4 linked regions of the Rhinolophus ferrumequinum genome follow. The protein of the gene in region 3 purifies or fractionates together with the protein of the main gene of each other region. This does not show direct contact. Links are inferred from orthologs where the notes say so. Each region holds a gene or a part of one and is shown on either strand. Other genes may lie near its edges. The genes, in order: CHUK, IKBKG, CDC37 and RPS6KA4.

Region 1 (7,409 bases), on a different chromosome or scaffold from region 3:
CGTACAAGGAGTGGTATAAATTAGGCAAAGACTGAAGATCGGAATTTGCTGACAAGAAAAGATAGACTATGGAGGGGAGTCGAAAATGTGCAGTACAGATAACCTGCTGCTGGTGTCCGTGATTTGCAGATGTTTTATTCCCCCACCTGTCCCAATTAGATCTGAGCTTTGAGTCAACCTTAAGCCCTTCTTGGACTAATTTGGAAAGCCTCCAAGAGATTGCCACCATTGGATTAAGTCCAGTAAATGTAGTTGTCTACGTTTTCAAAAAGATCATTGACAAATGAGAACAAGTATGTTAGGAGCTTCAAGCATTTGACATTATCTTTTTGTTGTTGCCTCAGCAACAGATGCAGATGTGGACGCTGATGATGTAGGCACATGATTGCAGATATACACAGGCACATAAGCCTACAAGAGAGATTCTCTGGATGATTTTATGCTCATGATAGTTGTATTTTCAACACTGTAGTTTTCAAAATGCTAACTTACAGTTACATAGCATTTTATAGTTAACAAAATACTTGAAAAGACTTTTTTTTCCCTGCTGCTGTACAAGAAAGGTGATTCTATCTTCATTTTACAGATGAAGTCAGCTCAAGGTTTGCCCAGGCAGATAGAACTTGAGCTCGGGGTCTCTGACTTTTAGGAGACTCATGTGATTGATTTTCAACTCTTCTATTTATTGTAGCTTTATTGTGGGAAATGAACCGTATAGATGTGCATAGAGTTACTTCTAATATATCAGCATAAGTAAAAATAAGTAAAAGTGTAAAGCAGTGGCAGTTAGAAGGTAGCCTGTGTGTAAGTTTGTATGTAGTTATACTGGAGTCCTAAGAGCCAAGACAAGTTTTGTTGGTATTGAGCCTGTGCTGTTGTGTCCACATACGCCTGAATCCGCTGAAAGGAGAGGCAGAAGGTTAGAGTGAGGTGTGATACTAGGTGCCCAACTCTGCACCATGCCCTTACCAAACTCATGGTCTAATTGGGATGACGAAACTGGAGTTTAAGGTAGGATGTAATCAGAGCCAGTCTGGTACTTTTATTGTGTTATTTCCATACCTCACAAAACCCTTAGTTCGCATTTCATAGGTGAGAAAATCAGGACTCAGAGATGAAATCTTCTGTTTAAGTCATAGACAGCCAGGGACAGAGCTAGGAATGGAATCGTCTCTGATATTTCTGACACCAGGGCCTGCCCTCTTCAGTGCCATGTTGCTTCTTTAAGTACCAATAAATGTAGTTCCAAGTTCAGAGAAGTAAATGGGATTTGAGGGGTTAAGAAAGAGGTAGGATCTGAGTTGGTCACTTAAAATGAGTATAATTTTAATAGCTAGAATGGCAGAGAAGGCACGCAGGGCAAGAGAAAATGGTATGAGTGAAGTCAGAGGAATTTGCATGCCTTGTTTGGGTGATGCTGAGGAGAGCTCTCTGGTGGAGAGGAAAAGAAGGTTGGGGGGGTGTTCAGGCTGATACTGTCTATTTTGATTTCTTTGTACTCTTTCTGCAGGGAGGTCCTGGCCAGTGAAGCCATCCTTAATATTCCTGACAAGTCTGACTGGAGGCAGTGTCAGATCAGCAAGGAAGAGGAAGAAACCTTGGCTCGCCGCTTCCGGAAAGACTTTGAGCCCTTTGACTTTACTCTGGATGACTAAGCAAAGGGAAAGGCACTTTATGAACTTCACAGGAAGTAGTAGCAGCCTGTTTTTTAAGAAACTACAGTCTCCCGTGGGGACTGTTTTCCTGCCTCTTTTTTTGTGCATTCCCATGGAACCTATTGGTAGCAAGAGGCCTAAAATTGAATATTTTTTGGAAAAAGTCACATTCTAGGAGGAAAATCCTATATTCAAGGCATGTCTGTCATCCAGCTCCAAATACAGCTTTTGTTTATCAACATTTTCCAAAACATTTAAACTATCAAATAAAATCCAAATACTTTCCCGTGTTTGGGAAGTGCCTGATGTTCATGTTACCTGTAACCACTGAAATAAAGTCGTGTGTGTGTGTGTAATAGGAGGAGCCGGGGCTTTAGGCCCAGCTGTTATCACAGGATGTCACAGGTGGCTTCTCCCTGAGCAACCCAGGATGGAGAAGGAACCCAAGGCCTTTGCCATTTTTCTCATAACATTCATTTGTTGATATGAAAGAGCTCATTCATTTCTTCAGCAAATATTTAACTCCTATGTGCCAGGCATTTTTCTAGGCTCCAGGAGTATAGCCATGTCCCAACATGGTCTCTGTTGTCCCAGAATTTACAGTCTAATTGGGAAGAGAAAGGGCAGATTTAAGATAAGAAGATGAGTTCTGCTTTAGATATGCTGAGTTTTAGATATGTTGAGTTCTTGCATAGTTATAAACTTATGGAGATCTGGATTGGAGATCGGGCTTTGGGGATCATCAGGGTATAGGCCATAGGTGAAATTACGAGAATGAATGAAAAGATAGGTTGAATACCAACCTAAGCTGAAGATGACTACCTTGGAAATAGAGTGATCCGACAAGTATATGGAGAAAGAGCAAAGAGAGGGAGACATCACAGGAGAATGTTGTATCTTGGAAGTCAAAAGAAAAATCATTGCTCCTATATATTGGGCACTAATGGCCCAGACACTATTTCACTTAATCCTCACAAAATATCTATGAGATAGGTATTATTACCTCCATTTTATACATGAAAAAAACTGAGACTGGCAAACTTGAAGATTCTGGAGCCTGAGGTCAACCGGCCCAGGATTTTAAAAAAGAGCTATGCAGTGTCCCTGTGAATGGGGATGTTAAAGAATGAGCTTTAGGAAACAACCAGGTTCCTGCAAAGATGGCCACTTCAGGGTCAGCTCAGTCATCAGTATCCTCAGGTCCTCAGCATCTCTTCCCTGGCTCTTGCAAATGACAATAAGGAGATTTTGGCCCCACCTGTGGAGATCAAACACACTTCAGTGCTCATTATGCTGTACACCTAGCAAATGAGGGCTTCAGAGTATTAGGATAATCTGCATCACAATCATTTGTGCAGTTTGCCTGGGTCTAAAGGATGTGTTCTTGGAAGTACCATTTGCACATCACCTCCAAGTCTGATACTCCAGCTCCGTGGCTACCAAGCATGTATGGGAAACCAGAATTTCCAACACCACACGTTACTGATGACCTATATACCATGACTCGCTTCGTATCATGCAGTGTTCAACAATCTGAGTGCACTATTCAAGGATTTTGGTGACAATAGACACATTGGCTTTGCCAAAAGCCTATTCAATGCTTTCAAAGCAACCAGTGACATTACCATGGTGCACATGCTGTACCCACCTTTAGATGTTTCAAATGCTACATCTGTGGTACAACCATCTGTGATAGATACAACCATCTATCACAAAGTGTTAATTGGAATTCCATGTACTGAGTTCATAGGCAGGGGTGTGCAAATGATCAAGTGCACACCGTCTCAAAGGAGGCTCAAATGACCATCCTTAACGCCAACTGACACATTTCTTGAGAATTTGATTCCAAGCTGATTGTTATACTTGGAGTAACAATGGAGTGATTAATGAAATCCCCAAGTCCTATGAAGCTATGACCAACTCAGCAAAAACAGGAAGCTGGTTCCCCTATGCTAAAGCAATCAGCCACTCGGAAACTCTTCTTGTTGCCCCAACAGCATTCCCCAAGCTTGCCTCTGCAGCCTTGCATCACGCATGAAAAACTCCCCACAATGAGGAACTACCTCACTGGCAAACCCGTATCTGGAGCACTGTTTGACAGGGACAAGATCCCGAAGTCAGGAACAGGAACGTTCTTTACTCGGGAACGGCATCACATCCTTGAGCCGTTTGGAATTACAGGGGAGATCCTGGGACAGGTATATAGGAAATAAAGCAAAAGAACAGCTGATCCTGACTCTATGGAACATGATTAATCATTTAAGGAAGAAAAGATGAACTATTAAGTCTATGGAGGCCTTGTTAGCGCGGGATTCTTTCTAGTTCTTCGGCTTCCGCCATATTTAAATCGGTGGTGGCCTTCGCCAGTGCCAGCTCAGCGGATGGTGAGGTTGGAGAATAGATGGCAGAAGTCTGAAGAAAGGTGAAGTCTAAATAGGGGTGGAGATGATGTGAAGTTGAAAAAAAGACCAATACAAGACAGACTGTTTTGGAAAGTGATTTGAAGGGAATGTAGGGCCTGGAGAGATCTTACATTTTTGAAGACTGGGGAAAAAACAAGTGGGTTCTCTCAGCTAGGAAAATGCCCAGGGTACTTAAGAGAGCGTATTGAAAGCGCCCTACTCCCCCCACCCTTTCCCCTGCTGAGGGGCTTGCGGCACGTTGGGAAAATTTGGGGCGGAGCTTTCCGTGTGGCAGTTACCGGAAGTGATGCATACATCTCGCGAGAAGAAAGACGCGCGAGCCTCGGCGGCCCGGAACCGGCCTTGGAACGGTGGCTGAACCTGAGGCCGCTTGCCCTCCCGCCCCATGGAGCGGCCCCCGGGGCTGCGGCCGGGCGCGGGCGGGCCCTGGGAGATGCGGGAGCGGCTGGGCACCGGCGGCTTCGGGAACGTCTGCCTGTACCAACATCGGGTGAGGCGGGGCGCGCGAGGGAGCGGCGGTGGCTGTTTGTCAGAGCGTCTGTGGAACACAGTGGCTGTCAGTATGTGAGATTGTTGGTGTTACCTCGGGCAGTACTGGGGGCCAATGAGCGTGTGTGCGTGTGAGAAAGAAAGAGATTGAGATTGTGCTTGTGGTTACTGAGTCAGGTTGTATCTGGGTCAGCGTGTGTGCGTTAGCGTTATTAGGAAGAACTTTTGGTATGAGTGTCAAGATGTGACAAGGTGTTTACCGAATGTGACGGTGCTTATGTGTCTCTGAATGTAAAGAGTGTAACGGTGTGTAACGTAAGGCAAATGCACATGAGAGTGTGTATTGTGAGCACAAGTGGGTGAGAAAATGGGGCTAAAGAGTGGGGGGGGGCTGCCTGTTGGAATGTGTGTGTACTTGGGTGTGCTTGGAAGCCATGTGTTATCGGTGGGACTGGAGTAGACAAGGTTTCAGGGTGGAAGCGTTTGGAAGCATCGAGTAGGCTTTGGAATTGGGGATGCATTCCAGATAGGAAGCTGTATGAGGATCAGATGGTGAAAATGATCGGGGCCTCGCAAGGGAAGGAGATAGATTAGGGGTGAGGTGCTCTAGTCGTTGGCAGACAGCTAACATCCAAGTCGGGAATTGGCGTTGATTTAATTGAAAATGTTTAACCATTGTAGCAGCAGTTAATAATCATGTTTGAGCTATGCATCTTTTGATAACCAATAAAAGATCTGAACCCTTTCCCCAGAAATATGCACAGAGGCACGTCCGTGCAGCCTTATGCATTGCCATTTGAGGAAGCTCATGTTCTCCTGAAAGACATTCACAGACCTTTTAGATATATAGACCCTGGACTAGTAATCCCTGCAGTATAGCCTTTGTTTTGTTATCTGTGAAATGGTTACAATAATGTCTACTCACCGTGAGTCTGAGAGTTAAAGAAGATAGTAATATGTGTAAAGCTAAGTACAGTACCTGGCCCATGGAAAGCCCTCAAACGTTTGCTCTCGTTGTTGCTGTGTTGTTGCTGTTATTATCATCTTTATCATCATTAATTGACCTGCAAAAAAGGAAATGCCAAGATAAAAGTGTTCTTTTTTTGTAAAAGATAAATCTGAGTAGGAAAACATATGGGACAAGCTGACCAGTTAAGCTATTACTGCCGTAAAATGCTTGCAATTGGCTTGTGAATGGAGAAGTGAATTCAAGAAGAGAAATCATGATTTGCTGTTTTAAGGAATGTGGGTGTGGATAGAGAGCCCATAGTATAGGATGGGACTCCATCTGGGAGGAATAGACATGTTTGTGTGGCAGTTACAATGACGAATATCACTGATAGAACCGAGGAAATTTTATGAAGCAGGTTTCTGGATAGAGCATAGGAGGAAATCTTGGTGAGAGGGAGAATGGAAGGCGAAGGACTAAGGCATTAAGTACTTTGACAGCTGGACAAGTAGTAATTTAATAATTCTCGCCATCAGAGAGGACATAAGGCACTCAAAAGGAAAAGAGAGGGAGCGATGTACTTCTATTAATAGCAGATGTTGCCTTTGGCCTTTGTATTTGAAGCCTGACCATCAGCCTGGTCATAAGAAAAATGTACCACTTCCCTGAAAATAAGACCTAGCCGGACAATCAGCTCTAATGCGTCTTTTGGAGCAAAAATTAATATAAGACCCGGTATTATGTTATGTTATACCCAGTCTTACAGTAAAATAAGACCGGGTCTTGCATTACTTTTTGTTCCAAAAGACGCATTAGAGCTGATTGTCCGGCTAGGTCTTATTTTCAGGGAAACGTGGTATGCATGCTGGCATGGTTTTGTGACTGCTTTTCTTGGTCCCTGGATGGGGACCAATGAATACATGATTTTTTAAAAAAAAATTGTGGTTAAGTATATATAACATAAAATTTACCATTTTAACCATTTTTAAGTATACAGTTCAGTGGCATTAAGTACATTCACATTGTTGTGCAGCCATCACCACCATTCATTTCCAGAACTTTTTTATCTACTGAAACTGTATACCCATTAAATAAGAACTTCCCATTTCCTCCTCCCGCGGGCCCCTGGCAACCAGCATTCTACTATCTGTTTCTGTGAATTTATCATTTTTTCAATGAAAGAGATTTGAGTCCTCTAGAATCTTAGAAATCTCTCAGAAGCTTTCCAGGTGTCCAGAGTGGACTTCCCCAAAACTGGGACATTTGACAACTTGGCCTGTAGTGAAAGAAAGAAATACTTTGTCGTAAGACTTGGAAACAGCATCACTACTCTTCCAAGCCTGACATAGGGTTTGCATTTACAGCTTTCAAGATCCTAGTGTTTTGGTGGAAGCCACATCCCAATATTTCATCTACACCTCTTAAATCACAATGAGGAAGAGAAAAGGATGTGAGAGTTTATTTAGCTGATTACTGTTCTGGGTGCTGGTGCTGATGGTGCCCAAATCAACATGAACAGTATTTTCTGCCTTCAAGGAGATTTCAAGTCTAGTGGGAGACACAGAATCACTTTTAAGTACATAAACACTTTTAAGTACAATGTGATAACCTATATAATGAAGGTATTTGTAAAGTAATATGGAAGAATGGCAAAATAACTAAAAACTCTTCTTAGGGAATAGGGTAGCACTTCTGAAAGTGTGTTTGGAAAAACTAATCCCGTGAAACTCTTTGAAAAAATTATACTATGGTCAAATACATTGGGTAAATGCTGCATCTATGATATTCCTTCATTTGGAGAGTCATAGCCCACGTTAGTATGTTAAAAGCTCTGAGAGGTCCTATAGAGAAGAAACTAACTTAGTTGCTTTCCAATTTTTTTTATTGTAACAT
Region 2 (7,392 bases), on a different chromosome or scaffold from region 3:
ATGTGGCCTGGCTGGGGCAAAGGAACCTGGGCCACCACCCACCTGTGGCTGCCCAGCTTTGTCTTCAGTCTCCAGTGTTATAAGGCCACACCACTGCCGATATCTGTCTTTGAGAATTGTAGGCGTGGCAGAGAGCTCCAGAGGCTGGCTGCCAGCTAGAGGGCCCACAGGGATGGGCCATCCCGTCCCCCTAGGGTCAGTCAGGTCAAGGATCTGCTGGGTCCCCCAGGGTGGAGCCCGGGCTCTGGCTGGAGCCCAGCTGGCTCGTGGCCACTGCAGTGAGAGCGCTGGGGTAGGCGAGGCTATAAAAAAGAGCCTCCCTCCTCCATCGTGGGGTTCATGAATCACCAGGACTTGGGGGGGGTGCCGACATCATCATGACACAGCAAGAATCTTACCGGCCCAAGGGGGAAGACAGCCCAGCAAGATCCTGAGGAGAGGGAGGGGCTGGGGCTGCCAGGTCATTCCTTGCACAGGCCCGTCATTGGGATGGGTTCTGAGCACTCAGTGAGCCCATGGCCCTTGTGGTGCAGGTGGGGAGACTGAGGCCCCTGCAGTGAGCCAGTGCTGCCCAGGCAGAGTCGCAGTCCTATCTCTTTCTCTCACCCCCATTTCTCTCTACATCCCCTGGAGGGAAGCATCACTCCAGTCTGGCCGAGGCCCCATCAGATGGGGGGAGGACATAATGGACCAGGCCCAAGGTTCCTCCCCTTGCGCTGGTCTGTAAGGAGAAACTGGTTGCTTTCATTCCAGAGTTTTCTAGACTGGGACAGTAAGTACCTCCACTCCCTTTCTGCTTGGGGGTGGGAATCCTGAGATGGGGAGAAGTGGCTATATAGTGGGGGGAACAGAGAACAGCAAACAGCCCCAAGCCCATTGGGTAAGTCTGTGAACCAGCATTGTGATGCCCCCAGGAAGGAAGCTGGGTGTTCAGAAGATGGTTGGGTAAGTGAGTGAGGGAGGAAGGGGCAGAGGATGGCCACATGGGCTCAGCCTGTCCCAGGGTGCCCATCAGCCACTGGGCAGTGTCTGCTCTTCCCTTGGTGTAGAGTCCTCCCTGGGCCCTGGCTCTGCAGGCCTTGCTCTGAAGGCCCTCCTCAGGAGATCTGTGTGCTGGGGGGAGGGGGGGCTGGGGACACAAGGGCCCGTTTGTGTCTTCTGTCACATGCGCCACTCTGAAATCTTACTGGGTTGCTAACTCACCTTGGGTCCCAGTCCCCCAGCACACAGGTCCCATGAGGAGGGCAGGGCCTGTGTCACTGCACTGCAGAGGAGGTACTCAATCGCCACTTGATGCCTGAATAAGCAGAGAACTAACTGGTTTCCCAGAGAACCACCGTGCCTACTTTCTACATGGAGGGAGCAGGCATGGGAGGCCTGCTTCTGGGAGCTGTTCTAGGTGCTGCCTGAGCATGGGAGGCCCGCCTACCCCACTCCAGCCCCCTTGAACTGCAGGATGGAGAAACAAACAAGGAGGCTCTTCTTCGGAGGATCCCCTCCCCACAGCCTGTCCTCCTCCACTCCACCGCACTGAAGTGGCACTTCCCACTTCTGCTCTGAAAGCTTCTGTTTGTTGCTCTCAGAGCAGAGGGGAGCAAAGGGGAACCTCACCAATTGCAAGAAAACAAAGTTGCCCAACCCCAAGCTGGCCACAGAGGAAGGCAATGATGAGGAGCTACAGAATCAGCTCGGCAGAGCCCAAGGAAGCCTTGGCATTTGCTTCAAAAGCCCTCATTTGCTACATGGAAACACAGAGGTTCAGAGAAGGGAAGACACTTGCCCCAGGTCACACAGCAAGCTTGGATGATCTCAGTGAGATGTCTAAGAGTTGAGGGTCTGGAATTGTAAGCCATTTATTGTGGCCTGGGACGCTCTATTGGGGCATCCTGTGACTGGAGGGAAGGAAGAGAACTAATCCTGAGTTACTTTCTCCTCCAAACTATTTCTTGGACAAAGGGCCTAATGGTCAGAGTCCTTGGTGTTAAGGTTTGTGGCCAATACAGGTATGGCTCCTCTAAGGGGACCAGGCTGGAGACAAGGTGGACGTCACATCTGCCCCCTGTGTGCTGCTACTGTGTACTCCCCAGCCGTGGACTTACGGGGAGCCAGAGGACAGTGCTTAGTGCAGGCCTTCCCTCCCTCCCACCGGCAGAACCTTTCTCCCCCACTCTGCCTCCCTCCCTGCATTCTGGCTCTCCTTTTCCAAGTTCTAATCAGAATCCCAAAGTTGGCAGGGGGCAGCCTCTGCAAAGGACAGTGGCACGCTGATACGTGAACAAAGAACCAAGGTCCTCCAGAGTGAGGGGAGCATGATGTGGACGGCACAGAGAGACCATGCCTTCCCCGTCAAGAGCTGACTAGTTTGGGTAGAACTCTCCCTCAAGATTATACAGTAAGTTATGGGTAAAAATGGTCCTGCGATGCTTAGCAGATGCTTCGTCACATTCAGGGTTCAACGTGAAAAGAGAAGGCCGCTTTAACTTCGACATGAAGCCCTGGCAACTCATCTCACCAGGCCCTGCACACATCTTGCCGCCTGGCAGAGATCTCATTTCCACATGGTACACCGGGAGGGGGCCTTAGTGTAGGGGCCATGGCCTTTCCTATCAGAGCAAAATGGCAGTGCCACTGGCTAGACAATGGGGCAGGTCACAGCTCCTCAGCAGGCCTTGGAAGTTGGGGCAAAGAGACAGTGTTCAAAGAAAGGTTGAGTGTTTGTCCCCAGGGAACTTGACGTGGTAGAGAGACAAGGTGGAGATTGGGCCTCAGATCCTGCCTCTGGAACTAATTGACTGTGTGACATTTGTCAAGTCACAAACAAGTTTGAGAAAGATACACACAGAATGAATAGCCTCCCTTGTTTGCATCTCAGTTTTCCCCATGGAGGAAGCAATCCAATCAGACAGTCCCTAAGGACCTTCCAGCTCCAGGACATGGGTCTACATTCAACGGCTCTGCAGGTTTCAGAAATGCCTCACAGTGTGTGTATACCAGGTGTGCTGGGTGATAATGGCACACGAGCAGGAGTAAGAAGGAGAGTCTAACTGAGCTGAGCCTGTGTGGCCCCACGGCAACCAGTTGGGAAAGCTCAGGTACCCAGCAGGAAGAGACCTTAAGCAACTTCACACTTTTAAGATGTGGGGCCTGGGGGAGACTCACCGATGCACCCATGATGATGAAGATATGTGTATCGGACTGATGGAAGGCATCACCCTGGTACAGCTCTTCCCGCAGGATCCCGCACACTTGGGTCCGGCTCAGGGCCACCTGCTCTGCCATGATGCTCTCTGGTGAAAGAAAGACTTGTTGACAAGGCACGAGAACAGAAGAGCTCTGAGAAGATGGCCCCTTTCTTCAGGGGTCTTTCGGGCTCTCACTCAGCTGAAGTCTGATTATTCGAAACCACTGGCTGAGAATGGGGGGAGGTAGGATGGTTGGGGGGTTAGAAGCTGCTGGCTCTGAGCTCCGGCCATACTCCCCAGGAAGCCTTCTTTCACAGTGTACATTACAAAATTACTCAAAGCACTAGTGGATTCCAACGAGAGTCTCAATTCTGAGGAACTGGGTAAAAAAACCCCTGCTGGAGCATCGCACGATGCTAGTTTCATCTCAGCCTGGAATCAGGCGGAAACCCCACAACAAGCTGGAGCATGTTAGACCCTGCAGCTCCAGTCCTCCTCCTACCAAGCTGGGAGATCATGGCAAGTCCCTGCCCCTCTCACGATCTCAGTCTCCTCAGGGGTCCACTGGAAAGCGTTAAGACTCTCTGATTTTACCCGGCTCCCCAGCATGGCAAATCGAAAGGCCTCGCGGCGCAGCACACCCCAACACCGGTGTGGCGCCCGCCCACTTCGTTACCTGAGCTTCCTGTCCGCCTCTGCCAGTTGGTCTCTCAGCCCCGGAGTTCCCGGACGTTTCCGGGGGCTGCGACCCGCGGGTCCATTTAACCAGCGGGGGCGGGCGCCTGAGCTGAGCTGACCGCCTCAGGCGAGGCGCGCGGGCGGGGCCTCCATGGGCCCCTCCCTCGCGGGGGGCAGGGCAGGTGCGCGCGCATCTTAGCCTCCCCTCCCGCGGAGTCCCCTCCCTTGGCCCGCCCCATCCCTTGGGCACCTGGGCCGGCCGCTGCCTGCTGTGCCCATCGCCGCTGTGTCGCGTCCCCGATGCCTCGCGAGTCCGCGAGCAGCTCTGCGCCGTTCGCCCACGTCTCCATAGCCAGCCCTACCCCGCCCCTACACTCTGATTTTGCCCCTCCGCCCCCGGCGGCCCGGCGCCCTCGCGGAGGGCTCACTTCCGCCGGCAGTGTGGCCACGCCTCCTCGACCCCCATTTATGGGCGGGGCCGTCTTCACCCCGCCCCCTCCCGGACCGGTCAAACCTGTCCTGCGAGGTAGCCTCTTCGTGGCTCCTCCCCTAGCAGGGGCGGGGCGGCCGAGCGCCCGGAGGCTGGGTGCCACCGCTCAAGAGACAAGGGGGAGTGTGGGTTTGACGCCCCGGAAAGTAGCGGGTGGGGAACATCACTGGGGAGCGTCCTGCGGGCCGGCCGAGGGTGGCGGGCTCAGGCTTCCCTTTGGAACAGCTTCCCTCACATCTATTCCCGGCCTCTTTGGAGGGGCGGGGCTTGCGTGTTTTACTTCCGGATCCCACAGTTACGACACCGGAAGCCGGAAGTGGGAATTTCGTGGGGGAGAAGGGAAGAGCGACCGCGGAACCGGGACTTTCTCGGAGCGACGGGGCCCGAGGAGCGCTCGCGGCCCGCTGCTCCCGCCCTTCTTACGTCGGACTGATTCTGCTGAAAGGTGTGGTCCTCTTCCCCGAAGACAGGGTACCATCGGTGGGCGTTCCGCCGCCTCCTAGATTTCCCCCGGACGTCTAGGCTTCCCTCTCCTGTTGGGCCCAGGTCCGTTTCTGCCACCCGCTTCTAGAGTACTGGCCCAGGCGGGCCGATGCAGGACCCAGGTTGCCTTGGAGGCGAGCGGGACTGTTTCCGCTTGTCCCTCCTCCGCTGCCGCGGAGTCTGACCACACCCATAGTTCGTGGATGACTCTTGTAGTTCGGAGACATTTTCTGTTCAAACTTGCTTGTGTGTGAGGTGGTTAAATTCTTTAAAAAGACCTCAAATAGAGTTGGCAGCTAAGTGTCTTATCTCATGTGCCTCCGTTTGTTCACTTTTCAAAAACGATTCATGTCAGCCCGACCTCATACCGTTTGTGTGACTTGAGGATAAAAGGGCCATCATGGCATGTTGGAAGAAGAGCAAGGAGGCCATTATAGCTGGAGCAGAGTGAGTGAGGTACTTGGAGAGGAAGCAGTAAGGGATCAGATAGTGCAGGGTCTTGTAGGCCATTGTAGGGACTTTGGCTTTTACACAGAGGGTAATGAGGAACCATGCATGGTAGAGATCTGATTAGAGGAGGGACATGATTGGAATTACCTTTTAGGCGGATTGTTCTGACCGAGGTGGGGAGAACAGACTGTATGGGGCAAGGGTAGGAACAGGGGTGACCTGTTAGGAGGTTGTTGCAGTAATCCAAGTGAGAGACAATGGTGCTATGAGCATTTTATTATGAAAAATTACAAAGACGTACAAAAGTAGGAAGAAGAGTGTAGTAAATCCCATGTGCCCACCTCCCAGCTTCAACAATTATCAACTTGTGGCCAATTTTGTTTAATTTATACCTTTTACAATCCTCTCCCATTACTCTTTTTAATGACAGCTTTATTGAGATATAATTCACATACCACACAGTTCACCCATTTAAAGTGTACAGTTCACTGGTTTTTAATATATTTAGAGTTGTACAACCATACCCACTAATTCCAGAACATTTTTATCACTCCAAAAAGAAACCCTGCACCCTCTAGCTGTCACCCCATCACCCCATCTCCCCCGCCTCTAAGCATCCACTAATCTTTCTGTCTCTGTGTATTTGCCTATTCTGGACCTTTCATATAAATGGAATCATACAATATGTGGTCTTTTGTGAGTTGTTTCTTTTTCTTAGCATAATGTTTGCAAGATTCATCCATTTTGTAACATGTCTAGATTTTGATTATTCATCAGTTGATGGACATTTGGGTTGTTTCCATTCTTTGGCTGTCATGAGTAATGTTGCTGTGAGCATTCATGTATGGACATGTGTTTTCATTTCTTTTGGGTATATACCTAGGAATTTCCCCATTACTTTGAAGTGGATTTCAGACACCATGCGTAAATATTTCAGTATGCATCTCTAAGAAAGGACTGAAAAAAAAAAAAAAACAACCACAATACCATATCCCACCTAAAATAGTTAACATTAATTGCTTAGTGTCATCAGATCGATTCTGGGATATATTTTGGTAGAATTTCCTGATGGATCAGATGTGAGCTGTGAGAGACAGGAGTCAAGATGGACTCCATGGTATTTGTCCTGATAACGAGAGGATGGATTTGCCATCAGCTGACACGAAAGAAGGCTGCGGGACCTGGCTTTTGGGAACTGTCGGGAACAGTTTTAGAGAGATTAGTTTTGAGAGGACTCCTAGATTCCAAGTGGAGATGTTGAGTTTGATATGTGAGTGTGGCGTTGAGGAAAGAGGTCTAATTTGGGGCATCATTGACATTAAGGTGGGGGGTTAAAGCCATGAGGCTGGATGCTTAGTACTGGTGGGACTGGACAGAGAAGAGAAGAGATCCTAGAACAGAGCCCCGGGGCATCACAGTGTGAAGGGCTGGGTTACCAAAGAGGATTCAGTGCATGGCACCGAGCACAAGCAGCCAGTGAGGTCGGAGGAAAACTAGGAGAGGGCTGTCCTGGGAGCTGAGGGAGGAATCCGTGGTTGGTCAGATGCTGCTGATGAGTTAGTGGTGTGTTCAGTGTGGTAGTCAAATGTCCAAGTTTATCTGTTGTGAAAGCCTCCCTCAGCTCAGGCCTCAAAACTTGTATTGAGAGTGGCCTCCTCCGCCAGGTAGTCAGTCTTCTTGGGCAGGATTGAAAAGGGCTCCAGGCTGGTACTGTCCCTCACGGCCCGCCTCTCCTCTGGTTCACAAGAGAATGGGGACAGCTCAGCCTGTGTCTCTGCCCCACTGTCTTAGGCTGTCAGCCCAGCTCCCACTTGCCGATTCTAAAGCAAAAAGTCAGATACTGGATTTCCCTTTTGTCCCCTCAGTTCCAGGGAACATTCATCAGGGTCTGAGTGGTCTCCTCGAAATCCTTCTTAGTAGGTGCATTAATTTTCTGGGGCTGCTGCAAGAGATTTATTCTTTCCCAGTGCTGGAGGCTGGAAGTCTGAAGTCAAGTGTGGGCAGGGCCGTGCTCTCTCCAGAGGCTGTAGGGGAGGGTCCTTCCTGCCTCTTGCAGCTTCTGGTGGCCCCAAGTGTCCTTTGGCCTGTCGCCACTCCAGTCTCTGTCTC
Region 3 (7,645 bases):
GCATACAGTAGGTGCTCAACAAATAGCTCTTGAATGAATGAATAAATCTGCTTGACTTCCTCACCTTCTTCCGGTCTCTGTCAAAACTGTGGCCCATGGGCCAACTGCCGTCCGCAATCCATTGTTAATTGGCCCACAGCAAATTCCAAAAATATATTTAGTTTACTTAAATAAACCAGGTGAGGCAAGATGTACTTCACCTCGAGTGAGTGGCCCAGCTGTTTGTGTATTTTACTGCGTATGGCCCTTGGTAAAAAACGTTGAAAAAAGTTTTGACATCCCTGTTCTAGATTCTTCCCTGATACAGATGTCTCCCCCAATACTGTCACCTTCTGCCCTTACTTAGCTTATTCTTCTCAGCTCTTATCACCCCTGACATATCATATCTGTATGTTTCTACTCTTCCCAACTCCTTAGTTCCATGAGGGCAGGGGATTTTTCTGGCTTGTTCTAGCTGTAACAAGGGCCACCTCTCATGGACATCTGAACTGTGCAATCCCACAGGGCTCTACGTTTAGAAGGTTTAATGCGCTGCTATCATCGTCTTGAAATTCTTCATAATTTTGACCAGGAGCCCTGCATTTTCCTCTTGCCCTGTACTGTGCAAATTCTGTAGCTAGTCCTGGCTACATCCCCAGTGCCTGGAATAGCCCAAGATAGGTGCTCAAGAACATATGGAATGAAGGACGGAATGGAGGAGTGGATGGCCAGAGGAGCCCCACAGGCCAGGGGAGAGAGGTGACATGCATGTCACCACTGTCCGGACACACCCATGCACATTTGCAGCAATCCATCCTGGGAGAAACCTGGGCGCAGGAGGCAGGGCATCAGCTTCTAAGCCTGCCTTCCCCTCCCCTGGGCAGCAGGCTGTCTGAGGAGAGGGGTCCAGATGGCAGAGCAGGCCGCTCTGGGCAGCTGGCACCAAGCTCAGACTGAGAGAGGCTTTTTCCCCCACCTAGCTTGTCAGTGCAATCAGCCACAGGCCCACCCTGGGAGCCCCTGGCCTGGCTTAACAGAGGGGCGCTGGCTTCTCCCAGCCTGACATCCTGCCCACCCCCTACTTCTCTCAGGAAGATATGGGGACAGGTGGCCAACAAGAGGGAAAGGAGTGAGGATAAAGGCCGAGTCTACACCTTGGCCCTGAGCATCCAAGTCTGACAAGCTCCTTGCCTGGCACTGAAGTGGGGCTGGGAAAACTGTCGGCGGCCACGTGCATGAGACTTTGTACACAGCTGTGCATATTCAACTGACAGGTGGAACTTTCCACGAGTCTGAGTTTATATAGTTGAGACAAGACTCTACCTGTAGGAGTGTTTGTATGTGACAGGGTGACACCACATCAGTCTATGTGGGCATGAGGTTAGACGTACCTCTGTGTGACTGTGACATGAGTGTGTGTGGGGGAGAGTATTTGCATGTGGAGGCAGCAGGAAGCAGCTTTTCACAGTGGTTAGAAATGCCAAATTTGGGTTCAAATCTCTGCTCAGCCACTCACCTAGTTGTGTGGCCTCAGGCATATTATTTAGGTTCTCAGTGTAGAGTGTGAGTAGGATTACATTTGTCTGGATTTGTGTGTGTGTGTGTGTGTGTGTGTGTGTGTGTGTGTGTGTCTTGGAAGAGTAATTCCACTCCTCCAGGAGGTCTTCCTGGATATCCAACTTGAAATGGACCCTTTCCTTTTTCTTTCTTGTCACAAGCTGTCTGTTTCCTTCACAGCTCTAAGCATAATGTTTGTTACCATATTTATTTGTTTATGTTGTTTTTCTCTTCCCCCCAATAAATATCAGCTCCCTGGGGGCAGGGAGCCTTTTTCTGTTCACTGCTATGTCCCCAGCCCTTGACATGTAGTAGGCACTGAATACTTGTTGAATGGATGAATATCTGCATGGCACAGGAGAGGTAGTTTCTGCCTGGGTATCATAGGTTCCTGGAGAGACCGTGCCCAAGTCTGGTCTCTACTATCTTCCTTTCCCAGTTGTTCACAACCATTCCTTCAGCCATCCTCACTTTTATGGGAATGATGACACCTCATCAACCTTATCACCTCCGACAACATCTTTCCCATCCCTGGGTCTTAGGGACTCACTCAACCTCATTTGTAAAATGGGAGGATGGATGGACTGGTTCATGATAAAGCCGCCATTGTGATCTAAAATACTAAGGAAATACTCTGTGTCTAATTCCCTTTTTAATTCATTCGACATTTATTGAGCACCTACAGTGTACCAGGCACTGATTTGAACCTGATCTTGCCCTCATGGAGCTGAAATAACAAGGCAGACAGATACAAACGGTAAATCTTATTTAATCTCCAGCACTCCCCCGCCCACCACCACACCCCAACACTCTCTGTGCCTGATAGGAGTTTAGTCTGCACAGCCTGAAATCACCATGGGTATTTCTCTGTTTACATACTGATCTTGCTCCCTTACCAGTCTGGAAGGTCAGAAGAGCAGGGACCTGGCTGGTCTTGGTTGCTATGGCACCACGGCCTGGCTACAGTGCCCTGGCACATAGTAGGCACTTGGGAAATAGGTGTGAAATGAGCTAAGATATAAATGATGAGGCAAGGACAGGCTCGCATGCATGACTTCGTGTAAGCCTCGGTGTGCCATTACCCACTTTGCAGATGTGGAAATTGAGGCTCAGGAAGGCAAAGCCATTTACTGGGTCCCACTGCAGCTAAGTGTGTGGCTTACCGGATGCAGCAAAGGAAGCTTGGATAGCCCAAAGGAGCACTCCCAGCCCCCCACCCCCACTTCGCAGGTACCAGAGACAGCATGGGATGCGCTAACGGGGTGGGGGGGGGCGGGGAGAGAGAGACCAAAGGACAGTGCAAAACAACTCCGGGATCTCTATCTCCAGGGTTGGAGATACTGTGCTGGCAGGAGATAAGAAACGGTTTGGCGCTGATGGGAGAGCTTCCGGCGCCCTGTCCCCAAATCTGGAAGCTGGGGCTCTTGGGACCCGGTTTAACTGGGGCCAGTCAGCTCCAGTCTCGAGGCCAGGGAGAGACTCCTGCGACTACCCGGGAATCCCCGGCATCCGGGGTCCTCCCCACATCCCCCGCAGTCCGGAGGCAGGCCTGAAGCCCTCAGATGGCTACGGGGTGGAGGGCCGGCTTTCTTGGGGAGTGGGGAAACCCCCTCCATCCTGTCCACCTCCCTCCAGGGCTCCAGGTTCCCCTCCCCACCGCAGCTCGCAGCCCGAAGCTTACCTTGCAGGGGAGCTGGGGAGGGGATGCCCCGCCCTCTCCGGCTGGAGGGGGGGGCGGGAGGGGACAAGGGTGTCCAGACCCTTTGTTTGCTGCTGTGTAAGTGTGTGTGCGCGATTGTGAGACCCGCTGGGGTGTCGGTCCGTGCGCGCGCGTGCCCGGGCTGTGACGGTCTCTGAGATCCTGGACTGCTGGGGCTGGAGGGGGAGGGGAGAAAGACAGGGGGACTCCCCCGCCCCCGCCCGCCCACTGATTGGTTTGAATGGAGCCTGAGGTGGAGGGGCGGCAGCAGGAGGGGGCTTTTTTCTGGATGGCCCCATCCCCTCTCCGGGCAGGGGAATCCCCCCATTTGGAGACCTTCCAGCCCCCTTCCTCCAAACAAACGATTTGGAGAGCCTGGGAAGAGGCGCCCCTCACCTGAGGGTCTAAAGCTCCTATCATCCCCCCGGACCCTCACGGAGTGCCCTTTAATCTGAGATAATCCTGGCCCTAGGCTGCAACAGAGTCTTTTATCCCGGTATCAAAGTGTGGGTTGGGATTTACGAAAGTGTGCGTGCGGCTGGTGTCGCCCTAACTCAGAATAATGGAGTTCTTTGAGCGCGTCCAGACGAAAGGGAAGGGGCTATGAGCAGTCCTGGAGTATTACTACGTACGAGGAAAGCCCCCTTTCGCACCTCGGCTCTCCAAGACTCTGAGCGGGGCCTAGAGCACTGGCCGCTGGCTAGACATTAGTGACACCTAGCGGCCACACGGGGAAACGCCGCGGACCCGCGTCCGAGACACATTTGAGGGATCCAGGTGATTCCAGAGGGGGCGTATGCGCGAATCTTGGCTCTGGAGTGGTAGCAGATGAGAGCAGCACAAGGAGGCTGTGGTACTCCCATAGAAAATACCAGCCCCCAAGGCAGGGTCACATCGCCGCCACCTCCCACCCCCCAAGGGCACGGCCATAATATCCCTCTTTCACTAAGACCTTCCCAAGGCAGGGTCCTGCACCCCTGAGGGAAGGTCCTCTCAGATCACACACCCCTCCCCAGTGTAAATTAGGTCCCAACTCACAAGGGGCAGAGGGCGGGTCTCGTCGCCGAGGCCCTGCCCCTGCAGGGGGTTCGGGCTGATGTCACTGCGGCGTGGCTGAGGGGACAATCTTCTCCCTCAGTGTCGCCAACTTCACCCCCCGCCACGACCGCCGCAAACTCCCACTGAGGGGCAGCGAGAGATGAGGGGGAGCTTGAGGTTGGAGCTCCCGCCCGTATACCCCTAGAAGATGCCTAGTGGGAACCCCGCGTCGGATGAGGCGAGGTCTCGACCGGGACTCCCGGGGGTCGAATATGCGCGCTGGGGCCTTTAAGAATAACTCGGTCGCCAGTGACGCCGCCGCGGTTACTAGGGATTTGACGTCACGCGTGGGCGGAGTTGCGCGCCCCCGGCGGAAGCGGAAGGGGCGGGGCTCCGCAGGTTGAGGCTCCCGTGCTGTCGCTGCCGCCGCTGCTGCCGCCGCCGCCCTCACAGCCGGAGCGGGCTGGGCCACAGAGGCAAGATGGTGGACTACAGCGTGTGGGACCACATTGAAGTGTCTGACGATGAAGACGAGACGCACCCCAATATCGATACGGCCAGCCTCTTCCGCTGGCGGCACCAGGTAGAGCGCGCGCGCCCAGCCCCTTCCCCCACCCTCCTGGGACTCCGCTGCAAAGTTCCGATCCCTTATACAGCCAGGGATTCCGCCGTTGACACTTGGGATTCCCACCCCACAGTCTGGACTTTTAATATCGCCTAGGGTGCCTCGATTAAACTCCGGGACCGCAGAACTGCCGGGACCCTGAATTTTTGCATGGAACTCCCAGTTGACGCTTAAGGCACCTTCCTGAGTCTAGACTCCCAAGCCAAGCTTTGGGGGTGCCCCCTAGTCCCGTCTGGGACCTTTCATTTACACCCAGAGCTCTGCCTCAGAGTCTGGACCCGGGTCCCCATTTCTGATGTTGGATATCCCATCGGCCACTCCCCAGTCCCTAGAGTCCTCAATACTTTGAATCTATTCTGTGATATGCTTCCCTGGGTCTTGAGGGTGATTCCCATTAAGATCCAGAAATCCCACTTTTTTCCCAAACAGAACAAGAAACCGTGGCCTCCCCTGGGGTTTTTGTTCCTAACCTGGGATGCCACCCCACACCCAGGACCCCTACTCTATCCTGTAGACCTATGCACCACTAGGGCCCGTAGTCCCACCTGGGCCTGGAGTTTGGAACCCAGTTCCCCTCCAGACCCAACTACCAGCTCCACCCTGATGGAGCCTCCAATTCTGGCTGCTCTCCTTTAGCCTTACCTACTGTAGACCCCATTTCCCATGACACCAGGAAACCCTACCGTTGTGGCTTCCTGTCCAGCCACACCCCCTGCCCCTATTTGGCATTGCAGACCCAGGCACCACCTAAACCCCAAGACCAGCTTCCTGTTGGAACCTCTGCCAGCATTGGAACACCTCATCCAAACCCACTCTGCCTTGCCCCTGACCCCAGCCTGGTCTGCTGCGCTCAGGCACCCAAATTGTCCCTGCTCTCACCAGGAACCCTCTCTCCCAATCTGATTCCAAATTCACTGCCCGTTTTTATATTTGTCCCCAAATCCAGACCCCAGAATCCCGAGCCCCAGTGTCCTCCCTCCTCTTTCCCTGTCCAGCAGTGTCCACAGACCAACAGAAGGGCTCTCATAAGTCTTAATGTTCTAACCTCCTGCTCCCACACATCAGGGCTGCTGCACCCCCATAGCTGTGCCTGTTATAGTCTCAAATTGAGGGTGTGTTCCTCTCAGAACCTTCTACCCTCTGGTATGGCAACTCCCAGTCATGTATCCGGAAACTCCTAGAAGGGCCGTTTCCCATCTTGCCAAGGCATTTAGTCTCCACATCGGATCCCCAGTCCCATTTCCACCCTATTCCTTAGAGCAGCAGTCTCTTGGGTAGTGTACCTGCTCGGCACGCCACTGGAGTCTAAGAAGAAAGTTCTAGCACTTCTATTTCTTGTCATTTATTATGAAGCATTTAAGATCTTCACAAAGTTCTAAAGACCATTCTTGGGAACACATTTCTGTCACATAAAGAGGTTAATCTATCCTGCTTTGTGGAGACCGGTGCCCCCTCTCCTGTGGCAAATGCCTTCCACCTTGCCCTCTGCCCCCCTTCCTCCCCACTCCTGAAGCAGAAACGTTTCCTGTCTTGCCACGGAAAGCCTCTAGGCTGTTGCTGACGGGGCTCAGCATCTCCAGCACCAAGGAAGCTTGGGTCCTAATCCCAGCCTTGCCTTCACAAGACCATTGCAAAAATGAAATGAGATTAGATCTGAAAAGAATTTGGCTCAGGGCCTAGGACGGGAGGTGCGATTAGTGAAAAGGTAGCCTGGTGGCCTTTTGAGCCTCGGCCTGCCCACCTGGTTTCAGATCCTGGCTTCTGAATCCCTTGACTTGCTGCGTGACCTCCAGTGAGTTGTTTGAGCTCTTGGTGCCTCAACATCCCCAGCTGGAAATATTCATAGTGTCCACTCCGTAGGGTTGTCGTGCAGGTTGCCTTATTTATTTAATGTGTATAATACTTTTGGGACAGCACCTGGCATGTAATAAGCTCTCCATAAACTTTAGCCACCATCGTCATCATCGTTATGTAGGTAATTTACTCTCATAGTAAAAAGCAAAACAAAACACAGATTCCAGAAGGGGACAAGTGAGTCTTCCCTGGCTCCGCGGCAACCTTGCTCAGACAGCCGCCACTGGTTTCTTGTGGCTTCTTCCCGTAAGCTGTGCTGCCTCAAGATTCTAGGGGCATCGGTTTCTCTATCTGTAAGGCAGGAGGGCAGTGCACCTGCAGGCCCTGCCCACTCCTGTGGCTTCTGCCCTGCCCAGCATGCTAGAGTCCCTCCTGGAGGTGTAAAGCCCAGGCTGGGCAGGCAGCTGCCCCCACCGACTCCGGGCGGCCTTTATTTAGCTTTGGCCTCCCTGGCAGCTGCTCAGAGGACACCAGGAAGAGCTTGGTCGCCACCCAGCAGCAACCAGCAGGGTGGTAGGTTCCTGTGATATGCTTCCCTGGGTCTTGAGGGTGATTCCCATTAAGATCCAGAAATCCCACTTTTTTCCCAAACAGAACAAGAAACTGTGGCCAAGTATGGTGCCGACCCCAGAGAGCCTCTTTCAAGGTGGTGGGAAGGCACCCGGGCCACACAGGCCCTTGTGGAGAAAGGGAGGTTGCAGAGGTGAGGGCCTTTTTGACCCCTATCCACATGGGGAAAAGTGTGGCTTAGGATTGACTGTGTCAGTTTCTGGGGCTCAGGTCTCCCAGTTCTCACCCTCTGTATGCCTGGTCCTGTGCTAGAACTTGGAGATACAGCCTCGTAAAAGGCACAGAGCGAGTTAGCAGAGCATTCTGGTGGCAGTAGCCATGAC
Region 4 (7,749 bases), on a different chromosome or scaffold from region 3:
CCCCAGCGACCAGCTTAATGCCCTGCGTCGAGAGAAACAGAAACTGGTAGAGAAGATCATGGACCAGTACCGTGTGTTGGAGCCTGGGCCCCTGCCCCGGATCAAGTGAGTGGCCCCTCCACCTCTGGGCTGGGGTCCTCCCGACCTGGCCCCTGCCTGCCCTCTGACCCTGGCCCAGCTTAGGTGCAGGATCAGTGAGGGTTTGCCTGGCCTTTGCATCCCCAACAATGGCCTTTTGTCCCTCCTTCCTCCCTGGCCTTACCCACTCTTGTGCCCTCTTGCCCCCAGGAAGGGCAGCTGGCTGGCAGACAAGGTGAAGAGGCTGATGCGGCCCCGGCGGGAGGGAGGCCTCCATGGGGGGCCACGCCTGTGGGCCGATGGGGCTGGCAGCACCGAGAGCCTGGGGGGCCCCCCAGAGATGGAGTTCTCCGAGGGCAGGGAGGCGGATGGGACAGGTGGGTCTGGGGGCCAGGTGACAAGGATGGTCCCTACCCCATGTCCTCTGTTCCCGCTCTGGCGCCTATCAATGTCTCTGGTCTCTACCTTCCTGCATGGCTTACACAAATGCCCCCTCTGGCCTTCCTTGCTGCACCCTCCCCCCCCAGATGGTTCCAGTGGCGCTTTGCTCTGCGTCCCTGCTGTGTCCCTTTCTTCTGGCACCTTCCTCCTGTCTGCGCTGCCACCTACCCAGTCCTACCCATCCACAGCAGTGCCTAGGACCTCAGAGCAGCAGGGGCCTTTAGTGAGAGGTCATTTATTCCAGTCAGCAGATGAGGAAACCGAGGCCCAGGGAGGGGAAGTGCCTTGCCCAAGGTCACACAGTGAGTTAGTGTCAGAACCAGCACAAGGTCTAGCCTCCTATTGCCACCCTCATTCACCCAGACTCTCCCCCACCTCTGCAGCCTCCTTTCCCTGCCTTTGCTTCATCCTTCTACCCCTCTACTCTGCCCTGCCCCTCCTGTACTGCTCGGGCACTCCCCAATGCCTATGCGTCTTGCAGGGTCCCCCTCACCGGCACCTATGCGCCGGGCCCAGAGCTCTCTCTGCCTACGGGATGAGACCCTGGCAGGTGGGCAGCGGCGAAAACTCAGCTCCCGATTCCCAGTGGGGCGAAGCTCTGAGTCATTCAGCCCCGGGGACACCCCCCGGCAGCGATTCCGACAGCGCCGTCCAGGCCCCATGGCAAGTTCCCATGGCAAAGGTGAGGGGTCCCTGCCTCTATGAGCCCCCAACTTCCTGTGGACCTACCAACTCCTGGGGGAGGGGGCTTCCCTCCTGTCCCCTGTGTCTCTCCACAAGCCCTGCCTGCCTCTGCCCTGGTCCCTGTGGCCCAGCAGCTGCCTTGTGGCCCCCTAGGATCTGGCATGGGATGGGATGGCTCCGTTGAGACCCTGGAGGAACATGAAGCAGATGCCAGCCGAGAGGGTGAGTGGGGTATTTGCCCTGCGTGGGGCCCTGGCAGCGCTCATCCATCCATTCATTCATTTGACAATGAGCCTTTACTAAGTGCCAGGTGATGTGCTAGCAGGGGCCACACAGCAGGGAACATTCTGGTGTGGGAGGCAGACAGTAAACAATATGCATAAAAATAACAATCATCTATAACAGCGCTTGTTCAATAGAAGTAAGATATGAGCTACGTGTATAATTTAAAATTTTCTAGTGGCCTCATCAGAAAAAGTAAAAAGAGACAGGTAAAATTAATTTTAATAACATAGTTTATATAACTCAATAGGCCTGAACTATTACCATGTCAATATGTAGTAAGTGTAAAAAATCATTAGTGAGATATTTTACGGTATTATTATTTTTTCATACTAAGTCGTTCAGGTCTAGAGGTATTTTACACTCAAGCACGTTACGGTTCAGAGCACCCACCTCTCATTCGCTCAGCCGCGTACTGGGCAGCTGGGCCCTAGAATGCTGGGAGGTGACAATGTTCTGGAAAAAGAGAGCAGGGTGAGGGGGGTCAGGAGCTCGGGGTGGGTGGGTTGTAGTTTTAATCAGGGTGCTCAAGATAGGCCTCAGAGGGGACGGGAAGTTGGAGCAGAGACTAAGAGGCGAGTGTGTCGTGTGACATATCTGGGGAACAGCAATGCAGGCAGAGGGAGCAGCTGAGGCAAAGCGTGCCATGTTGGAGGCGGCCAGGCAGCCAGTGCAGCTGGGGTGAGGCAGGAAAGCTGAGAAGAGGATAGAGGGGTGGAGGGTGGGTACAAGGTGTAGGGCCCTGCGGGCCACCACCAATGCTGGGAGTCCCCCAGGGGAGTGGGCTTGAGCTGAGCCTTTCCCTCCAGGCCTCGAGGTGCAGGAACCGGAGAAGCGTCCTCTCGCCCCTTCCCTCAGCCAGTGACACCGTGTGGATGGGGAGCGTGGAAGTGCAGGCACCTCGCCACTGGACTCTCAGTGGGGGCCCCAGACAGCCCAAGAATTCTGGGAGCCAGGGCCCCTGGGGCAAGTCCTTGGACAAGGAGGCTTGGGCCCCCAGGTCCTCCATGGCTGGCACTGGGGCCCTGAGATGGAGCTGGGACAAGCTTGTGGGCAGGGGGGATGGCCGGTCCCCAGGAGCAGCTCCTTGCCAGGGCTCTGGTTCTGCCATGTGGCCCTCGCTGAGGAGGCGGTTTCTGGGGGACCCCCAAGATGAAGAAGGCAGGCAAGAGTGGACAAGAGAGACCCCTGCCCGGTCCAGGTGGGGAGCCAAGGAGCATTCCCTGGGGGCAGTGGCCTGGGCCTATTTCTAAGCCTTAGCTGGGACATGAGGGACATGAAAATAAAGCTGGGATACAATCACCTGAATCTGCGCTCTGTGTGTACTGGCTGCATCCAGAGCCACAAGCCACCAGGGACACCTGCGGCCTGGAGTCTTTCTCTGCCAGTGGGGTCTATGGCTACTGGCTTCCTCACCTGGCACAGGGCAACGAAGGGCTTTCTTCAGGGGAGTGGCCTGTCAGGCTTCCCTGGGTGTCCCAGAGGGGTGGGGGGTTCTGGGTAGCCAGCAGTGGGTGGGGCCTTAGTCTGGGTTCAGCCTTTGCTTAAAAGGTGGGCTTTGGGCTCTGGAGTGGGGGCAGTGAACCCCAGAGGCCCTGCCCTCCCTCTCTGGCACCCTCTTCTCTCCTTTCACTTCTTTCTATCTCCTCATTTCTCCCCCACCCCTTTGGGGTTGAGCCCCTCCCCAGGGAGGTCACAGCCTGGTGGGTATCACCTAGTGCCAGGGGCTGTCATGGAGGAACACAAGAAGTGGGAGGGACAGGACGGTCTTTGACCAGGGCCTCTAGGATGACACTCAGGGAGGGGGCAATTAGGCTGGGTGGCAGGACGTGACTCAAGGCACTGGGGCCTCCCAAGATAGGGAGGGGCTGCCCCGGGCTGAGGTGAGGCAGCCTGAATCTGGGGGTAGGCAGAGCTGGGAGGGGTGGTCAGACCAGCCTCCCCAGGGTGACCTGTAGTAGCTCGACTCATGGGGCTTCCACAACCCCCTTAGAAATAACCCATTGCTCTGCCTGCTTCCTCTTAGCCCCGGCTTCAGAGGCTGATAGCCTCTGTGGGAGTGGAACCCCAGGCCTCCAGCTGGAAGCCCTCTCCCATAGGCCTCAGGGTGGGGGCTTTGATGGCTGCCCTACCCTGTTGGTGGCCCCTGTCAGTTGTCCGGGAGGGGGACGAGGCTCTGGAGGACAGACCAGTCAGGGCGCCAGGCTTGGTGGAGAGCAGGCCATCCCTGTGAGGCTCATGTTCCTTCACGTTCCTCCATGTTCCTTTTTGAGGCCTACTCTGGGCTCTGCATGGGCACTGTGCCAGGCTTGGGGATGACAGGGCAGAACCATGGGAGGGTGCGTGGCACTGGGTGGGATGTGGAGGGTGGCTGAGGCCTGAGGTGCTTTTACAGGTTGGTCTAAAGAGATTCGGTCACCCCTCCCTGTCATGGGGTGGGGCTTGGCTCCAGCACCCTCCCAGTGTCCCCTGTAGGTGCTCCCTGGGTAGGGGGAGCCCAGAGACAGGGCTTTGGTCCTCAGGGCACCTGAGTCCCCAGACCCTCCCCTGCAAAGGCAAGTCCACAGGGGAGAGGGTCTCAGCTGGCCGCTGAGGTGTGGACCGTGAGCTGAGCTGAGCTGAGTGGCTTCCAGGACCCAAACACCTCCTTAGGGCTGCCCAGCGCCAAGAGCAGTGGGCCACACTGAGTGAGAGGTGCTGGGCCAGCCCTGTGCTGGCAGCAGCTGGATAAAGGCAGCTGTGTGGCTTCCGGCTGCTCATCTGTCAAGGGGACCTACAGACCCCTTCCTATTTGCTGACTTCGAGGAGTGATCCCAAACGAGGTGGTGGGTTGTGAATTTTATGAAATTCCTCACTTTCACTGTGGCTAAGAATTAGAGATGTTGGGCTGACATTTTTACCCTGGAGGGGAAACTCTGAAGTGCCAGCGTGCACTCCTCTGCGGCACAGGCTCCAGGGTCTCAGCACCACTGGCTTCACCAGGCACCCCAGGGCAGACACCTGGCTTGGGAGTGTTTGCGCAATTGGAACTCCAGGTAATCCGCAGATCCCAGGCATGGCTCCCAAGGGGTTGTTCCGAGGTCACCAGGAGGGTCGCAAGCGGTCCGGGTGCGCGCAGCCCTGATGCCCTCCCTGTGCGCCCGCAGAAGACTGGCCGCTCCCGCCCGCCCACCCGCAGCCCAGAGCTGTCACGTTCCTGCGCCTGACTCAGGCCGCTCGGGGCGGGGAGATGGGAGGCGGTGCCGGCGCCCAACTCGGCCTGGAGGCGGCACCAGGAAGCGCCCGCCCCGGCCGGAGCCGCCATGTAACCGGCGCCGCCCGGAGCCGAGCTGTGCGGGCCCCAGTGACCGGCCCGCCATGGGGGACGAGGACGAGGAGGAGGGCTGCGCTGTGGAGCTGCGGATCACGGAAGGTGGGGCAGGGGCGGCCAGGGGCTGCGGGGCTGCGTGATGACTGCCTGGGCCACAGGGAGGGGTCATGTACTGGCTGGGCTCATTCGCCCCCTATGCCCACAGCCAACCTGACTGGGCATAAGGAGAAGGTGAGCGTGGAGAACTTCGAGCTGCTCAAGGTGCTGGGCACGGGAGGTGAGGACCCCTACCCACCAGGCAGATGTCCCAGGCACGGTGCCCTGGGCCTCCTGCCTCCTGCCGGCACACCCGCCTGGGCCTGGGCCAGGCCACCAGCAATGCCCCCCACCCTTTCTTGGAACAGCCCGCCTTGCCTGCCCTGCCCTGCCAGGGTTTGCATGCCCTTTGCAAGGTCCTCCTGGATTTGCCAACACCTTTGGGGGCTTGCAGCCTTCCCAAGTGATTTGCACAGTTCCTCTCCTTGCGCTGATATTAGAGTCCTCTCCCCCACTTTGCAAACTCCCCAGCTTGGGTTTGCACATCCCTCCCAAATCTGCACGTACCTCTGCCTCCCTTGCTTGGATTTGCATGTCCTCAAATCTGTCTGATCTTCCCCAGGTTTGCACAGGCCCCGCCCCCACCTTGCCCTGCAGGCCTCCTGGAGTTGCATAGCCCCCAGCTGGTTTGCACACCCCTCCCGGCTTTTGCTGAGCACCCTCCCAGTGCTGTGCACACCTTTCCCTTAGAAGCCTCTGCCGGCTTTTTGCACACCTGCCTCTCACCCCAGTTCCTTCCCCCAATTGCACACCCTCCTGGGTTGGCATCACTCCTACCCCCACCAGTCTGCACCACCCTCCTGCTCACCGCCTACCCTCTGCCTACTCGCTGCTCCCACAGCCTACGGGAAGGTGTTCCTGGTACGGAAGGCGGGTGGGCACGACGCAGGGAAGCTGTATGCCATGAAGGTGCTGCGCAAGGCTGCGCTGGTGCAGCGCGCCAAGACGCAGGAGCACACTCGCACTGAGCGGTCAGTGTTGGAGCTGGTGCGCCAGGCGCCCTTCCTGGTCACGCTGCACTACGCCTTCCAGACCGATGCCAAGCTGCACCTCATCCTGGGTAAAGGCAGGCACCTGCCAACTTTGGGGGCTATGGAGGCAGGTGGGGCCACCCATGGGGACTGCTTCCAACATCTAACCTATCCCCCAGACTATGTGAATGGTGGTGAGATGTTCACCCACCTCTACCAGCGCCAGCACTTCAAGGAGGCTGAGGTGCGCGTGTATGGGGGCGAGATTGTGCTGGCTCTCGAACACCTCCACAAGGTGGGTGAGGACCTGGCCACATGCCTGTTGCCATGGACACTGGGTCTGGGCCTTATTAGGGGCTTCCAAACATGGCAGCCTCCGATCTCTCTCTCTTCCTGGGGGGTGGTGGAGACCAGAGCTGCTTCCTCAGGCCTCCTGGAAGGAAGGCCTCTGCACTGCCTGGTGGGGTCTCTTCCCCTGACGTCCCCTCGAAGGTGCTTTCCTCTCACAGGGAACTCGGGACTGCCTCTTGGGGCCGTGTTTATAGAACTTCCTCAAATGGAGACCTCATGCCTTGGCTCCCAAAGCCTTCTTGCCATGGAGCTCTTCACACAGGCTTTCTTCTCTCTGGGACCTTGGGGCCTGCTTCTCTGGGCCCCTACCATGGGGCGGTCCTCCTTGCTAGCTTTTGCATCTTAAATGGCCTTTCCTCTTCAGTGGCTCAGTCCTACCCCAGGCCCACTCCTGCACTGAAGATCCCCTTCTCCAGGGGGTCCCCTTCTTCTGGGCATTGACTTGGTGCAGGGACATGAGCTGTAGGAGCTGGGGCTGTTAGGGGAAGGGTCCTCAGTATCCCTCTTGCTCCTGCCAGCTGGGCATCATCTACCGAGACCTGAAGCTGGAGAATGTGCTGCTTGACTCCGAGGGCCACATCGTCCTTACGGACTTTGGGCTAAGCAAGGAGTTCCTGACAGAGGAGGTGAGTGAAAGCAGTCTCTCCGCCTACCCCAGTGTAAGCCATCTCCTTCCTGTCTCCTGCTCCATGCTTGGCACTGCTTGTTTCTTGGAGGTACAGAGGTAAATCGCCCTAGGCCCTGCCTTCAGGAAGTTCTCACTGCTCCAACCCTCGCAAGTCCAGTGAGTTCTCCTCTGAACCTTGAGGGTTGCTGGTTGTCCAAAGTGGGTCTTCTTGCCCTTCCAGAAAGAGCGAACCTTCTCCTTTTGTGGCACTATCGAGTACATGGCCCCAGAAATCATCCGCAGCAAGTCGGGGCATGGCAAGGTGGGTTGGCAGGGGAGTGGGGGTGGTGGTGGGGTGAGGCCGGGGTGGCTGCAGGCCCTCACTTTGGCTCGGCCCTGGCAGGCTGTGGACTGGTGGAGCCTGGGCATCCTGCTCTTTGAGTTGCTGACTGGGGCCTCACCCTTCACTCTGGAGGGTGAGAGGAATACGCAGGCAGAGGTGTCTCGGTGAGTGGGGCTGGATGTGGAGGGCAGCTGAGGGGCCTGGGCAGGGAGGGGGGGCTCGCTGCCCCTGACGCCCCCCCCAATCCTCCCAGACGGATCCTGAAGTGCTCCCCTCCCTTCCCCCCTCGGATCGGGCCTGTGGCGCAGGATCTGCTTCAGCGGTTACTTTGCAAGGACCCCAAGAAGCGGCTGGGTGCGGGGCCCCAGGGGGCACAGGAAGTCAAGAATCATCCCTTTTTCCAGGTGAGGCTCCTGAGCCGCCCCCACACCTTTCTGCACATACCTAAGCTGGGCTGCTGCTCTGGGTTTGGGGACACTGGAGGGATGGTCGGAGACAGGCCAGTTTCACTTGATTTAGAAAAGTCTCCAGATAAAGAAAGCAGACTTATCTTCTCATCCATCTCTATTGAATCTCAGAAGATGCG

Evidence for each region.
Region 1: the proteins of CDC37 (region 3) and CHUK purify together in Homo sapiens (affinity purification with mass spectrometry; 7 studies listed by BioGRID and IntAct, with this or other methods). This does not show direct contact. The link is inferred for Rhinolophus ferrumequinum from reciprocal best matches to the Homo sapiens genes CDC37 and CHUK.
Region 2: the proteins of CDC37 (region 3) and IKBKG purify together in Homo sapiens (affinity purification with mass spectrometry; 7 studies listed by BioGRID and IntAct, with this or other methods). This does not show direct contact. The link is inferred for Rhinolophus ferrumequinum from reciprocal best matches to the Homo sapiens genes CDC37 and IKBKG.
Region 4: the proteins of CDC37 (region 3) and RPS6KA4 purify together in Homo sapiens (affinity purification with mass spectrometry; 3 studies listed by BioGRID and IntAct, with this or other methods). This does not show direct contact. The link is inferred for Rhinolophus ferrumequinum from reciprocal best matches to the Homo sapiens genes CDC37 and RPS6KA4.

What each region holds. Positions count from the first base shown.
Region 1 is NC_046299.1:24,311,356-24,318,764, forward strand, and holds the start of CHUK (inhibitor of nuclear factor kappa-B kinase subunit alpha), read left to right. Parts: upstream 1-4,393; 5' UTR 4,394-4,463; coding exon 4,464-4,568; intron 4,569-7,409. Other genes in the region: CWF19L1 (CWF19-like protein 1), read left to right, coding at 1,511-1,655.
Region 2 is NC_046284.1:6,116,195-6,123,586, reverse strand, and holds the start of IKBKG (NF-kappa-B essential modulator), read left to right. Parts: upstream 1-4,391; 5' UTR 4,392-4,795; exon of another isoform or gene 4,796-4,896; intron 4,897-7,392. Other genes in the region: G6PD (glucose-6-phosphate 1-dehydrogenase), read right to left, coding at 3,160-3,287, 4,111-4,210. UniProt on the Homo sapiens protein: Regulatory subunit of the IKK core complex which phosphorylates inhibitors of NF-kappa-B thus leading to the dissociation of the inhibitor/NF-kappa-B complex and ultimately the degradation of the inhibitor.
Region 3 is NC_046301.1:39,857,993-39,865,637, forward strand, and holds the start of CDC37 (hsp90 co-chaperone Cdc37), read left to right. Parts: upstream 1-4,642; 5' UTR 4,643-4,754; coding exon 4,755-4,856; intron 4,857-7,645. UniProt on the Homo sapiens protein: Co-chaperone that binds to numerous kinases and promotes their interaction with the Hsp90 complex, resulting in stabilization and promotion of their activity. Inhibits HSP90AA1 ATPase activity.
Region 4 is NC_046294.1:7,080,453-7,088,201, reverse strand, and holds the start of RPS6KA4 (ribosomal protein S6 kinase alpha-4), read left to right. Parts: upstream 1-4,738; 5' UTR 4,739-4,842; coding exon 4,843-4,897; intron 4,898-5,000; coding exon 5,001-5,072; intron 5,073-5,732; coding exon 5,733-5,957; intron 5,958-6,041; coding exon 6,042-6,157; intron 6,158-6,731; coding exon 6,732-6,839; intron 6,840-7,061; coding exon 7,062-7,142; intron 7,143-7,223; coding exon 7,224-7,327; intron 7,328-7,416; coding exon 7,417-7,567; intron 7,568-7,749. Other genes in the region: CCDC88B (coiled-coil domain-containing protein 88B), read left to right, coding at 7-105, 289-455, 1,001-1,201, 1,357-1,425, 2,295-2,350. UniProt on the Homo sapiens protein: Serine/threonine-protein kinase that is required for the mitogen or stress-induced phosphorylation of the transcription factors CREB1 and ATF1 and for the regulation of the transcription factor RELA, and that contributes to gene activation by histone phosphorylation and functions in the regulation of inflammatory genes.